Coturnix japonica: one gene and its partners. The protein of the gene in region 1 binds, or shares a complex with, the protein of each later gene. Links are inferred from orthologs where the notes say so. Each region holds a gene or a part of one and is shown in the gene's direction. Other genes may lie near its edges.

Evidence for each region. The genes of interacting proteins can lie anywhere in the genome.
Region 2: DR1 (region 1) and MBIP share a complex: the UniProt entries of both Homo sapiens proteins name them as parts of the ADA2A-containing complex. The link is inferred for Coturnix japonica from reciprocal best matches to the Homo sapiens genes DR1 and MBIP.
Region 3: DR1 (region 1) and SGF29 share a complex: the UniProt entries of both Homo sapiens proteins name them as parts of the ADA2A-containing complex. The link is inferred for Coturnix japonica from reciprocal best matches to the Homo sapiens genes DR1 and SGF29.

Annotation. Positions count from the first base shown.
Region 1 is NC_029523.1:12,067,093-12,070,818, reverse strand, and holds part of DR1 (protein Dr1), read left to right. Parts: intron 1-1,601; coding exon 1,602-1,748; 3' UTR 1,749-3,726. UniProt on the Homo sapiens protein: The association of the DR1/DRAP1 heterodimer with TBP results in a functional repression of both activated and basal transcription of class II genes.
Region 2 is NC_029520.1:33,103,425-33,107,723, reverse strand, and holds the start of MBIP (MAP3K12-binding inhibitory protein 1), read left to right. Parts: upstream 1-1,438; 5' UTR 1,439-1,459; coding exon 1,460-1,612; intron 1,613-4,299. UniProt on the Homo sapiens protein: Inhibits the MAP3K12 activity to induce the activation of the JNK/SAPK pathway. Component of the ATAC complex, a complex with histone acetyltransferase activity on histones H3 and H4.
Region 3 is NC_029530.1:7,882,859-7,887,122, reverse strand, and holds the start of SGF29 (SAGA-associated factor 29), read left to right. Parts: upstream 1-1,403; 5' UTR 1,404-1,459; coding exon 1,460-1,534; intron 1,535-1,728; coding exon 1,729-1,804; intron 1,805-2,013; coding exon 2,014-2,086; intron 2,087-2,325; coding exon 2,326-2,390; intron 2,391-2,569; coding exon 2,570-2,699; intron 2,700-3,097; coding exon 3,098-3,244; intron 3,245-3,483; coding exon 3,484-3,519; intron 3,520-3,938; coding exon 3,939-4,101; intron 4,102-4,188; coding exon 4,189-4,264. Other genes in the region: melanotransferrin-like, read left to right, coding at 100-286, 945-985. UniProt on the Homo sapiens protein: Chromatin reader component of some histone acetyltransferase (HAT) SAGA-type complexes like the TFTC-HAT, ATAC or STAGA complexes.

The DNA of each region.
Region 1 (3,726 bases):
CATAAAACAAGAATGCTAAAAACCATTGCTACCTTATGTAGGCAGAATGGGCCACGTGAAGTGTGTTTTGGTGGTTGTTTTAAATTCCATAATACTGTGCCTTAGTGCCTAAATTAAAGACAGTACATGCAGGTTTAACAAAATTGTGTTGATTTTTATATGATTTTTAAAAGTGTTATGTTACAACGTGGCAAGTATTACTTAATACTAAATTACACTTAATTAACTTGAATTAAGCACAATTAAATTATACGTAAGTTGGTATGAGGATGGTGGTGAATGTTTAAAGTTAGTCTAATGATTCTTCCTGATATTCGTGCATGTCTAAAAGTGTGGAAGATGAGGTCATCAACAGAAGTGTTCTTTTTGAGGCTTCCTTACTAAAGGTTGCTTGTAAAGTTCCTGTGTAAATGGGTTGCTCGATAAATGAGTTCAGTTTACCCCAGATGCTGTTAAGGCTTCTTAGTCAATACAGCTGATGCTGCAGATTTACAGCATCTTGAATTGTTTTCCAACCTTTTTAGCTTGGCTACTGCTTAAACTTAGAAATACTGAGAAGTCCTCATTGGGAAGTGTTGAACAGGCTGAGAAATTGCAACACTTCTTATTGTATAGGAAGACTTCTTTTTTTCATGTATACTAAATAGGTAAACTGGTTTTGATCATTTTCTGAAGTACCATCTTTTGGTGTCTTGAAGTTTGGAAAGCTGGTTTGTTGAGGCTTTGGAAAAAGAAAGGAAAATTCAGTGAGCAAATAAAGAATACTGAAGGTTTTTAATTTAGAGAACTTTCAAAACAGAAAATGAAACGTTAACACAGTGTTGAAATCAAAAATAGTTGCTGAAAAACAGAAAAAAAGCTCTAAATGGGAAAATGGGAAGGCACCATGTGAGCTACTTGAAGAACATGGTTAGAACATCTTGTACCTTGAAGTACAGATAACATGCCTTTCTGTAACAAAGGCATCTCAACCTGCCTCTCCTTATTTAAGAAGAGCTCAGATTGCTCTGTTTTCCCAGGATGGCTTAGCAGAGTGAGATAATGGATTTCTTCATTTCTGTGGGTTGGTTTTTGGTTTTTTTTTGTTTTTGTTTTTGTTTTTTGGTGGTTTTTTTGTTTGTTTTCTTTTTGTATTTCTACATGCTGTGGTGAGAGGGATGAATTTGTAATTGCCAACATTATTTGTAATCAGCAGTGTAGGACTGTTCTCGTCTCTGAATGGTGGCTGAATGCTAAGAGGCCTTGAAACTGAGCCGTAAATTATTTTATTGCTTTGTCTTGCTTTATCTTTTCATTAGTAAGTGGTTCAGTACAACCCTTACAATGAAACTAAAGAGGTGTGGACTAATGTACTTGTTCTGGAAAGTATAAATCCTCTAAATGTTGGCCTCTTCAGAGGAAGAGCAAATATAGCTGGACATCCTAGTACAAATAACAAAGGTATTTCTAGACATGTTTTCTAGACATGTGTGTGCACAGTTAATAAAAAATTATGTAAAAGGAGCCTACAGGTGCAGATAAAACTGCTTTTATAGCTAAGGTGCTCTAGAGATTCTTCACAAGTTACAGTATGACCTTAACAATTAAATTCATGTCTTTAGGCTAGACAACAGCAAGCAGAACTGGCACAGCAAGAGTGGCTGCAGATGCAACAAGCAGCTCAACAGGCACAACTTGCTGCTGCCTCAGCCAGTGCATCCAATCAGGCAGGATCTTCTCAGGATGAAGATGATGAAGATGATATCTGAAATTCACCAGCTGGGTTTCTGTCTTCACTAAGAAATATTTTTCCTGCACAATGAAAACAGTGAAATGAATGCTTACCTGTAAGTTTGTATGCATCATGGACTGGCAGTTGGTATTCTAGGGGTGTCTGCTGTTGTGTGCTGTACATGTATAAACTGTCTTTTTTTGAACTCTTGAAGATTTAAGGTTCAGTATCATATCGACTTTGGATTTTTAATGGTGTATATGGAAATTTTAGATAGCAGTGCGTCACTTATTTGATCAATAAACAGTGTTACAATGAACAACAAGTTTATAAAATACAGTGAGATTTATACAAAAAGCTCTAAATCCACATTTGCATTTCTTCCCTTTTAACTAAACTATAAAATCTTACTTAGAATTTTTAATTGTTTTTGGGGGGAGTGGTACAGTAGAGGTAAACTGTTAATGGGAAAGAAGTCAAGTTCAGCATAGTACAGTCTTGAATTCTTTGTTCTTTTTAAAATGCGGATATATATGGCAATAAATACTATAAATGCTCCAATACCACACTTGTTACCATTTGAAAATGATACCTTTCCTAGCTTGGTGAAAACGTATGTTTAATAGGAGTTGTACAAATTGAATCCTTTTTGGTATGGGATGGAAAAAAATAAACCCATGGTTTTATTACTACGTCCTTTGACAGTCAGTCCTGACTGAATATTTTACTTGGAAGACTGCCAGTTTTGGAAAACTAACTCTTCTTATTGTTTTGCTCCGATTTAATGTTACCTGTTGATGTTATTGCGTAGTCCAGATATGTTCATATTGTTGAAATATAAAACTGGAACTTGATGAAACAGAACTGTTCTGGTTCCGCTGATGTAACTGGGAATGATTCAAGCCTGTGAAGGCAAAAGCTGAAGCTCCGAGCATGCTTACAATAAAAGAGGGATTTTATTTAACCTTGATAAGTCATCGTTGTCAGCGTAATGCTAATGTTTTCCACACTAGGTTGCCACTGGATTATTAGAATACTTTCAAAGATAACATTTTCATCACTCAAATTGGTTTGTAGGTAAGTCCAGGTTTTTGACAAAGGATTTCCCAAAGTGATGGGTAAGACATGGAACAGAACTGTAGTAGTCCTTTTGATAGTTGATTTGAAAATTCTGTTGATTAATGGATGAGCGGCTGTTCTTTGTGTTGAAATAAAGCACAGTAGTGTCCATTACTGGGTTTTAATGTGTTACTTGAAGTAATACTGTCATATCTTCTGGTACACTAATCTGAGCAGACTAGAAAAGCCACTTGTGTACTGCTGTAGATGATCTCATAGCTCTGTAACAATGCAGTTTGTTTATTTTAACCTGAGACCTCAGCAGGTTGCTCTAGTCGTGGGTCCTGAGGAGGGCAGCAAGTCTGTTTGTGTAAGGATACAAGTGGAAAACATCATGTCCATTTTTACATAACGATCTGAACAAGGTACAATTGGCATATATTCAGGTCTGAGTCTCTTAGTGACTTTTAAGTGTGAGATGCGTTAAGTTTCATATAGAGTAAATGTGAACACTTCCTTAAATGCATTAATACAGTGAAAAGTCAGAAATGTATTTTAATATTTAAGTTAAAACAAACGAAAAACCTTTCACAGCTACTATATGATATGTGTTAGGCAAGGTTTGATTAAGGAAGTGGTTTTCTGTGAAGGTTTAAGTACCAAAGGTAGAAAATCTAGTCTAGTGATACAATGTTAATGTGCAGTGTTGGCTTTTCTAATTTGTACTGTAACACCTTCACACCTTTCTATTTTAAATGAGTCTTTTCCTTTTAAATAATATTAGGTATATTTTCACACCTTTATTTTCTGATGCAGAATTCAGGTTAACATTTTACTGCATCTGGTATGTATGGTGTAATATGTTTGGATCCTTGTGACCTTTCTTTTGGACATTCTTGTGCTTTTTTCATATGCTGTATTCTTCAAGCAATAAAATTCTGATGTGTTTTTATAAA
Region 2 (4,299 bases), on another chromosome or scaffold:
TCATGTTTGCATAATGTATCATAATCTGTGAAATTTCAAATGGTAACAAATTTATTCAGCTAGCAGCTGCAACATGGATTGAGGCTTTTTGAGAGACTGAAAGTGGGAAGAAATTCTGTGGTCTCTTTACCAGTAGGAAACAGCACGTTTTCTCTGAGAGAAGACATAATGGTTCACATGATCTGAATCCAGCCAAGTGTGATGTAGCTCAGTTTGGGTAACATATCTCTTGTAAAGCACATATTTCCATGAAATATATTTTTTAAATCATTAGCTCTTAAGTCAGTAATTTGCCTCTGGAATTGAGCAGACATTCCCTTTTGGTTGAAGCTCCAGAACCTGCTCATGATCCTATAGCAGTTCAGACATGCTACCATTTTCAAAGGGTTAAGTCAGCCATGGCAGCTAAAACCTGCTGCTGTGCTGCTGGAATTGCTGCTGGAACTTGGAATGAAAGACCAACAACCAACCAACCATCCAAACAACAACGACAACAACAAAAACCAAGTGTGATGGGACTGAAAATGAAACAATACCAAAGATTTCAGTGCTTTCCCAGCATCTCAGAAGGCTTAATACCTCAAGAAATGGAAAACATAAGTCTGGTTGATAAGTGGGTATCCTCTGCCCATCTTGTCTGATTGTGACTTGCAGAATTGGATTTGCTTCTACCCTCAGTATTCTGTTGTTGTTTACTAAATGATCTCCCTTTGGACATGAAAAATGCATGATAGGGAAAAAAGCTAAAATGTCGAGATTGGTCTGTCCTGCAGAGCTATGTGGTCTCCCTTTATACCAGAGATGGAGAATTGGCTCATAAGCCTAGGAATACCCTTTTCAAGAGACAGGAAGTATGAAATGAATCAAGAGAAATGATTGTAAAGGAAATCTGGGGGAGGAAACAGGAAAATGGTAAAAGACAGAAATTAAGTGACAAAAAGAAACACCAGGTAGAAAACTTTCATCAGCACTGCTGCTGTCCTAAGAAAGAAGGTGAGCAGATTGCAGAGGAGGAAGTAGTCTTGCCCTACAAATATAGTGTGACAAACTTGTTCCTCATTGTATGGCGACAGAGCTACCCTGCTGCAACTTGAGGAGTCAAGGCTTTGAAGATAAACTCATGAGTGTACAAAAGTTAGTAATAAGCAGAAAAGTAAGGCTGAAAAAGAAGTACAATCATTTGGTATGCTTAGTATGCTTAGAATTAACACACGTCCCTCTTTCCATGAATGCACTCAGTCAAGGCACTACCACTGTGGACGCAGCTGAAGGATAGAAAGGGACAGGAGGCAAAGAGAAGGGCAAGGTGATGAGTTGTGCTGGGAGTCCTGGGGCCTTTAGGTGCTGGGCAGCAGTCGGACGCTGCCAACACCGTACACCCGGAGAGCCGCCATCACGGCCGCAACATTGGCTGCTGCTCCTGTCCATCATCGTTCGTCATCGCTGAGCGACGCGGGGCATGTCGCTGCCGGCTGCGGCCCGTGCTGCTGTCATGGCGGCGGCGCCCGGCCTGACGGAGCTCGGCGAGCGCTCTCCGGAGGCTGGAGCCAAGCTGGTGGCCTCGGAGGTGGCGAGTAGCGCCCTGCGCTCCCTGGCCGGGCTGGCGGGGCAGGTGAGTACAGGGTGGGAGGAAGGGAGGACCGGGGCCGGGTCAGCCGTGGACCCGCTCCTGCTGTACTCGCCTTTTTGGGCGGGCATCTCTGCTTCTCTGTCCGTGGGACTCTTCGGGGATGGGTTTAAAGTATAGGGAGAAAATTCTGCAGTAAGTAAGGGAGGCTGTCATGTCTGCAGGTGACAACGGGAACGGTGGGGTTGCGTGCGTGGTACTGTAGGCTGCTTGGGGTTTTAGTGTTGATGAATTATGTAGCAGATAGCGCGGCAGTGGTGGGAGGCTCTTATCGAGAGAAGCTGCCAGTAACAACTTAATAATTGCCATCAATAATTTACAAGTGAACTCATCTTCCTTCATGGAAGCACAGATGTCTTTCTGTGGAGGCAATAGAAGTGCAGTCGTGCTTTTGCAGTTAGATGGCAGTTTGAAGGTCTGGCGTCAGGTGGTGAGCTTGTGTCTTGGGGAGGTAATAGAGTTGATATTAGAGCTGCTGCATGCCCTCAGGAGGATTGCAGTAATTATGGAACAGAATAAAGGTTTTGGAAACACTGATATTTGGAGTGTGTTCTTTGTGTGACAACTTAAAGCCCTTTCACTGCATGCTGTGCTGAACGATGGGTGGGTAGGGGTTTGGTTACCTGTCTTAGCTGTTGTGACTCTTCAGATTACTCACTCAAAGTCATTTCCAGCTGTCCAGTTACATTCTTACCTGCCAGCATTTGAGTTCTGGTAGACTAGTGATGTTTTAGCAGCTTATCCTCTTCAGATATCCATCTTGCACTTCTGACTGATGCTTCTGGTCCCTTTCTCCCCTGTATTGAGATGGTAGAACGTTTGCCAGGTCTTCGTCTATCACAGTTTGCAATCTGTCATAGCAACTTAAGCAAGATTTATGCCATCAAGTTGCACTGGAAACAGGAAAAATAAATGTGTGTATATATGTATATATAATATATACACAATGTATGTATATATGAGCAATATATATTGAGCAATGACTTGCAGTGCAGTGATTAGAAGGACATCTGAAGATAACAACTCTTGAAACCAATATGGCAGATCCTGAAAAGTTACTTTAATCCCAAGGGATAATTTGTGAAGTTTATAAAACAATTTCAAAGATCAGGAATAACTTTGATGTAAAATAGTGAGAAAAATAAGTGTGCAGTGTTTGAAATGTGTTTGGTTGCAGGAGGAGTTTGTCCTTTACTTAACAGTGTGTGTGAGTTTATCCCCTGCCTCTAGATTCTAAGTCAGAAGGAATTGTTTTTCACATTGCACCATACGACTGTAGGATACAAGAAGGGGGCTTACTAGGCCATTACAGCAGGACATGTATTTTGTCTGTTACGGCAGTGTACCTCTGTAGCTGTTTATCCTATCAGCGCTCTGTAATGTAGCATGTATTACTCTCAAAACTTTGGGAGGAAATACTTGCTTCGGATAGTGCCCTTTAGATGATCGCCCAGTCACAGATGTTTGACTTGTAAAGTGAGGTTTTATTATACCAAATTCTTAATACATTCTTATGTTTCTGAGGTTTCATAACAATTATTTACTAAAACATTATTTTCCTTGCCTCTTATGTAGATTAAGTACTAACTAAGAATAATGTTTGTGAAAATTATCTAAAATACATTACATATCCAACTAGATAAAAACCATGATTCAGTTGTTATTTTGTAGTGCATTGGAAAACAATGCAAATCTATCCACTGTTCCCCTAGGTACTTATTTTTTTGTCTCTAAAGGCCAGTAGATCTTCCATCTCTTTTGCTATGTAACTGATTTGTAATCTAACACTGGATTTATCAAGGCTGATCTTTGACTAAAGAACGAGGGATCACGCTTGTCCTTCTTTATGTATGATGTTGCAGTATTGCTTGGTTCGAAAACTGATGTAGAGCAATTTCAGGTTCTGCTGCTTTGCCTTCAGTGTAATGGAAACATTCTTGATTTTATTTGTTTCATAATATGTTGTGCTATGAAACAAGTACATATGCATTCCGCGTTCATAATATTTGGTGCTGTTGCAAGATAGTGATTTTTAGACTATGTGTTCAAGGTCAATCTTATCACGGATGTGATACTTTTATTTATTTATTTATTTATTTTAATATGGCAGGAATGAGATGTAGATGTACAGATTTGCTTGTGACTTGGGATTCTGCATCCAAAACAGAGCACTTGTATATCCTGTTGATTTAAAACCGTTGTTTTATCTGTATTTATGATTTGGGAGATTGCTTAGGGGATATTTGGTTGGAAAACAACCTGTTTGGTGTGTGAAAATGGAAGTGTTTCTCCTTTACAACATCTTATCAGGAAAGCTTTAGTGTAATGAATGTGTCATAGAGCTGTGTGGAAGTACGTAATTAATTAGCGATTATTAACAATCAGTTCTGTATCAAAAAATTAAACTGAATTTTTAGTTTATAGAAGGTACATAATTCCTATAAATATAATTTCAGGTCTCCTGTGCGTGTTTCTCTTTGTTGTTTTGGGAGTTAAGTGCTGCCATTTCTCAGCAAAGACAACAGGATGTGGCAATTGCCATTTGTTCTGAATGCTCATGAAAGGAAACAGGGATTATGAAGTGGGTTTGACAGTGATGCTGTGTGGTTCAGAGTTTGTTTAACTGGAAGATTTTGAGAAGGATTTAACAGTATTATTTTTGATATAAAGCT
Region 3 (4,264 bases), on another chromosome or scaffold:
TGTGTTTTGTTTTCTTGTTAGATCTTGTTATAAAACTGATGGTCACCAACATAACGTTGTTATTTGTAGTCCAAACTGTGGAACTTCTTTTCTGTTTAGGAATTTCTGGGGACCAAGCTGGATTCTGAATTCCAGCTCTTTCACTCACAAAAATATGGTGAAAGTGATCTGCTTTTCAAAGATGCTACTCAGTCCCTTGTTCCTGCAACTCACATGAGCTATCGGGAAATCCTTGGAGAACCTTTCTTTCAGCTGGCAGAGTCAGTGTTTAATTGTACACCTGCAGGTAAAGTCAAATTCTTCATTCTGAATTAGAGAAAAATGCAAAGCAGAGGGAAGTTTTGTGTGCACAGGCACGGCCCTCTGGTTTATGCCAACTTCAGAGGTAATTTCTACATAACCTTGTTAGTGGAGTGTAATATCTGGAGTGTTGAGAACTCTTGCAGCTCCTATCTGTAAGCACTGCAAATGGGGGTCTGTGGGGATGATACAACCAATGCAGGTCAGAGCAAATATAAAGTTATTGAAGTGGAATTGTCTTCCACTCAGAAACTTGTTCTTCCTATCCCAGAGGTCTGGGTATGTCAGGGTTAGGGGAAATAACTCTGTTTCTGATAGAAGACTGCACTAAAAACTACACCAGAGTTAAAGATCTCATTGTACTTAAATGAGAGTTTGTTCACTACTATATACTGAAAGCTATTTTGTATTTAGTTCTGACTAAAACTAAATGAAACTGCTTATCAGTCAGGGCTGAGCTTGTTAGGGGCCCTGGGGATCTGTGCTGAAGTAGCTGCAGCTTGCACAATGGATTAGGAAGTTTAATAGCTGTTAGAGGACTGAAAGTCAACAAGGGAATACCAGCACTGTTGTGTTGTAGTGAACAGCAGCAACTTTCAGGGCCGATCACATCTTTAAGGCCATGTTCTCCTATTGGTTTGCAGGCATCTTGGACTTCTGCAGACAGGACACCTGTGCTCATTGATCTGACAGCTGCTTTGCAAGGCAAGAGCCGCCACCAATGTGAGAACAAGGAAATCAGTCTAGTCCTGCCTGTCTGCAAGGAAACCGTCACCCCCGGCCATGTATGCTGATTATCTTTTATCATAACCTTTGTTTTCTGCAGCAAGTAGATGTTGTTTATGGTCATGTAATACTGCTCCCGTGTCGTGCCGTTCCCGTTTGCAGCAGGGGTCGATCTGTACCATCCCTTCATTGGGGTCGATCTGTACCATCCCTTCATTGGGGTCGATCTGACCCATCCCTTCATTGGGGCGCAGCGCTGCCGTGACCGGCTCCGTTCAGCGCCGAACTCGTTTCTTACGTCGGTGCTGCCTCCGTGTGGCCAAAGCGCGGAACTGCACCGGGACGCATGCGCAGTGCGATGTGCGGGCTGACGCACAGTGCTCTGTGTCGCCTGACGCATGCGCAGAGCGCCCCGCGGCCCGTCGGTGCGGCCATGGCGCTGGTGTCGGCCGACTCGCGGATCGCGGAGCTGCTGTCCGAGCTGCAGCGGCTGCTGGGGCACACGCAGGTGCGGGGCTGGACGCACAGAGCGAGCGGGGCGCTGCTCTGCCGCACCGACACCATCGGGCCGCTCTGGGGGCGGTGCGGGGCTGTAGGGTGCTGGTTCGGGGCGGCGCTTTGTCGCACGGGTCCGGATTTGGGCTGTGGGGCTGGAGGTGGGGTGGTGGTGCGGGCAGCCCCCGTCATCCCGCTGCATTGCAGGAGGAGCGGTCCCGCAGCGAGCACAACCTCATCAACATCCAGAAGACGCACGAGAGGATGCAGACCGAGAATAAGAGTGAGAGCGGGGCCGGGCCGAGGGGCGGCGTGAAGGGGGATGAGGGGGCAGGGCTGGGAGGAGAGCAGGGCAATGGGGAGGGGAAGGGGTTCAGAGAGGAGTGTTGGGCAGGGGCAGCTTTGGGGCCGGGCTCGGGAACGGGGCGGGGTTTGGGGACAGCGTGTTCGATGGGGACTTGGTTTCACAGCGTTCTTACCTCCCCCCTCCAGTCTCGCCGTATTACCGCACGAAGCTGCGCGGGCTGTACACCACCGCCAAGGCAGATGCTGAGGCCGAGTGCAAGTAGGGCGGCCCCTTCATACCCACATCCCCATACCCTACACCCTTACCAACCCTACACCCTTACCAACCCTACACCCTTACCAACCCTACACCCTTACCAACCTTACACCCTTACCAACCTTACACCCCACCAACCCTACAGCCCACCAACCCTACACCCCCACCAACCCTGCACCCCACCAACCCTACACCCTGCCCCGTGCCCCCCATACATGACAGCTGCCCTTATGGCTCTGCAGCATCCTGCGCAAGGCGCTGGACAAGATCGCTGAGATCAAGTCTCTGCTGGAAGAGCGCCGCATTGGTACGTGCCTCCATTGAGCCCCCAAGTGTCCCTGACCCCCACGTGTCCCTGACCTCTCTTTTTCTATTTTTACACCCCAAATCCCTGGAATTACGCCCAAATCTCCCTCTGTATGCCCCCCCCCACAACTGCCCTCCCAATCTTGGTGTCACTGTGTCCACCCCCCCACTGTGTCACAGCTGCCAAGATCGCAGGGATCTACAGTGACGCGGAGCCGCCGCGCAAGACGATGCGTCGTGGCGTGCTGATGACACTGCTGCAGCAGTCAGCCATGACGCTGCCGCTCTGGATCGGCAAGCCAGGTGACAAGTAGGTATTCCCGACCCCACAAGTGCACTCTTCCCCACAGGGTGCCCTAAACTCCCAGACCCACACTCCATCATACCCCACATTGTGCCCTGAGCTCCCAGTTCCACTGGAGTTCTGGTTCTGGACTCAGATTCCAAAGCACGGCCCTAACCCCATGCCTGACATTTGGATCCATAGCAAATCTCAGCCCCACCCTGGGAAACCCAACCCCATCCAGACCCCATCCTGACCGTGCCCTCACCCTTCCTCCCCTCTCCCCCCATCAAACCCCAGGCCCTGTTCCCTGACCCCTGTTGTGGATTGCCAACACCCCCCTGACTGCACTGCAGAACCCCAAACCCCAGCCCAGCCTCACCCTCTAACTCCCACCCACCAACCCACCCCCACCTCATTCTCAGGCCCCCCCCACTGTGCGGTGCCATGCCGGCAGCTGGGGACTACGTGGCCAAGCCTGGGGACAAAGTGGCGGCACGTGTCAAGGCCGTGGACGGCGATGAGCAGTGGATCCTGGCGGAGGTGGTCAGCTACAGCCATGCTGCCAACAAGTGCGTGGAGGGGGCAAGGGGGCGGCAGGTTGGGTGTGGAGGGGAGCAGGAATATGTGTGTGTTGGGGGGGGTTTGAGTGGGGCCGGGGGGGCAGTTTGGGCACTTTGGGGGTGTGGGGCATGGTGTGGAGCACTGCACTTGTTGCTTGTGGGGCCGTGGTGTGCTCTGGGATCGCAGCATTTCCCCTTGTTTTGCTGTAGTTCAGTCCTTTCTCCTTTCTCGCTTCTCCCCACCCCAGGTATGAAGTGGACGACATCGATGAGGAGGGCAAAGAGTGAGCACCCCCACTCCACAACTGCCCTCTCTAACCCCACAGCTGCCCCCGCTCTCAGGCAGCCCCCAGCCTCCTCTCCAAGCCCTCCCAATCCCTCCAACTCCCTCCTTATCACCCCCTAACTCTTCCTAACTCCCTCCAAACCTCCTCAAACCCCACAGAACACCCCAACTCCCCACAGCCCCCCTCCCCATGTCCCCCACGCTCCCAGTTCTCCACAGAACTCTTCTTGCTCTCACCAAATCTTCCCAGATCCCCTCGGCGCACCCCCCCAGACCCCTCTAGCTCCTCCCGAACTCCCTCCCCATACCCGCCACACCACAAAGCCCTTCTCAACCCCTGCCCCCAAACCTGCTCTCCACACCCCTCATCTCCCCCATCCCCAGCCCGTACCCATTGCTTGCTCCTCCCTTCTGCAGGAGACACACGCTCAGCCGGCGCCGTGTGATCCCTCTGCCACAGTGGAAGGCCAACCCTGAGACCGACCCCGAAGCGCTGTTCCAGCGCGAGCAGCTGGTGCTGGCACTTTACCCACAGACCACCTGCTTCTACCGTGCCCTCATCCATGCACCCCCGCAGCGGGTACGGCCACATTTTGCCCTGGAGATGGGCCCTGCCGTGCCCCCAGCTCTCACTCATTACTGATGCTGTTTTCTGCCCCGCACACAGCCGCAGGATGACTACTCGGTGCTGTTTGAGGACACGTCATATGCTGATGGCTACTCACCGCCACTGAACGTGGCGC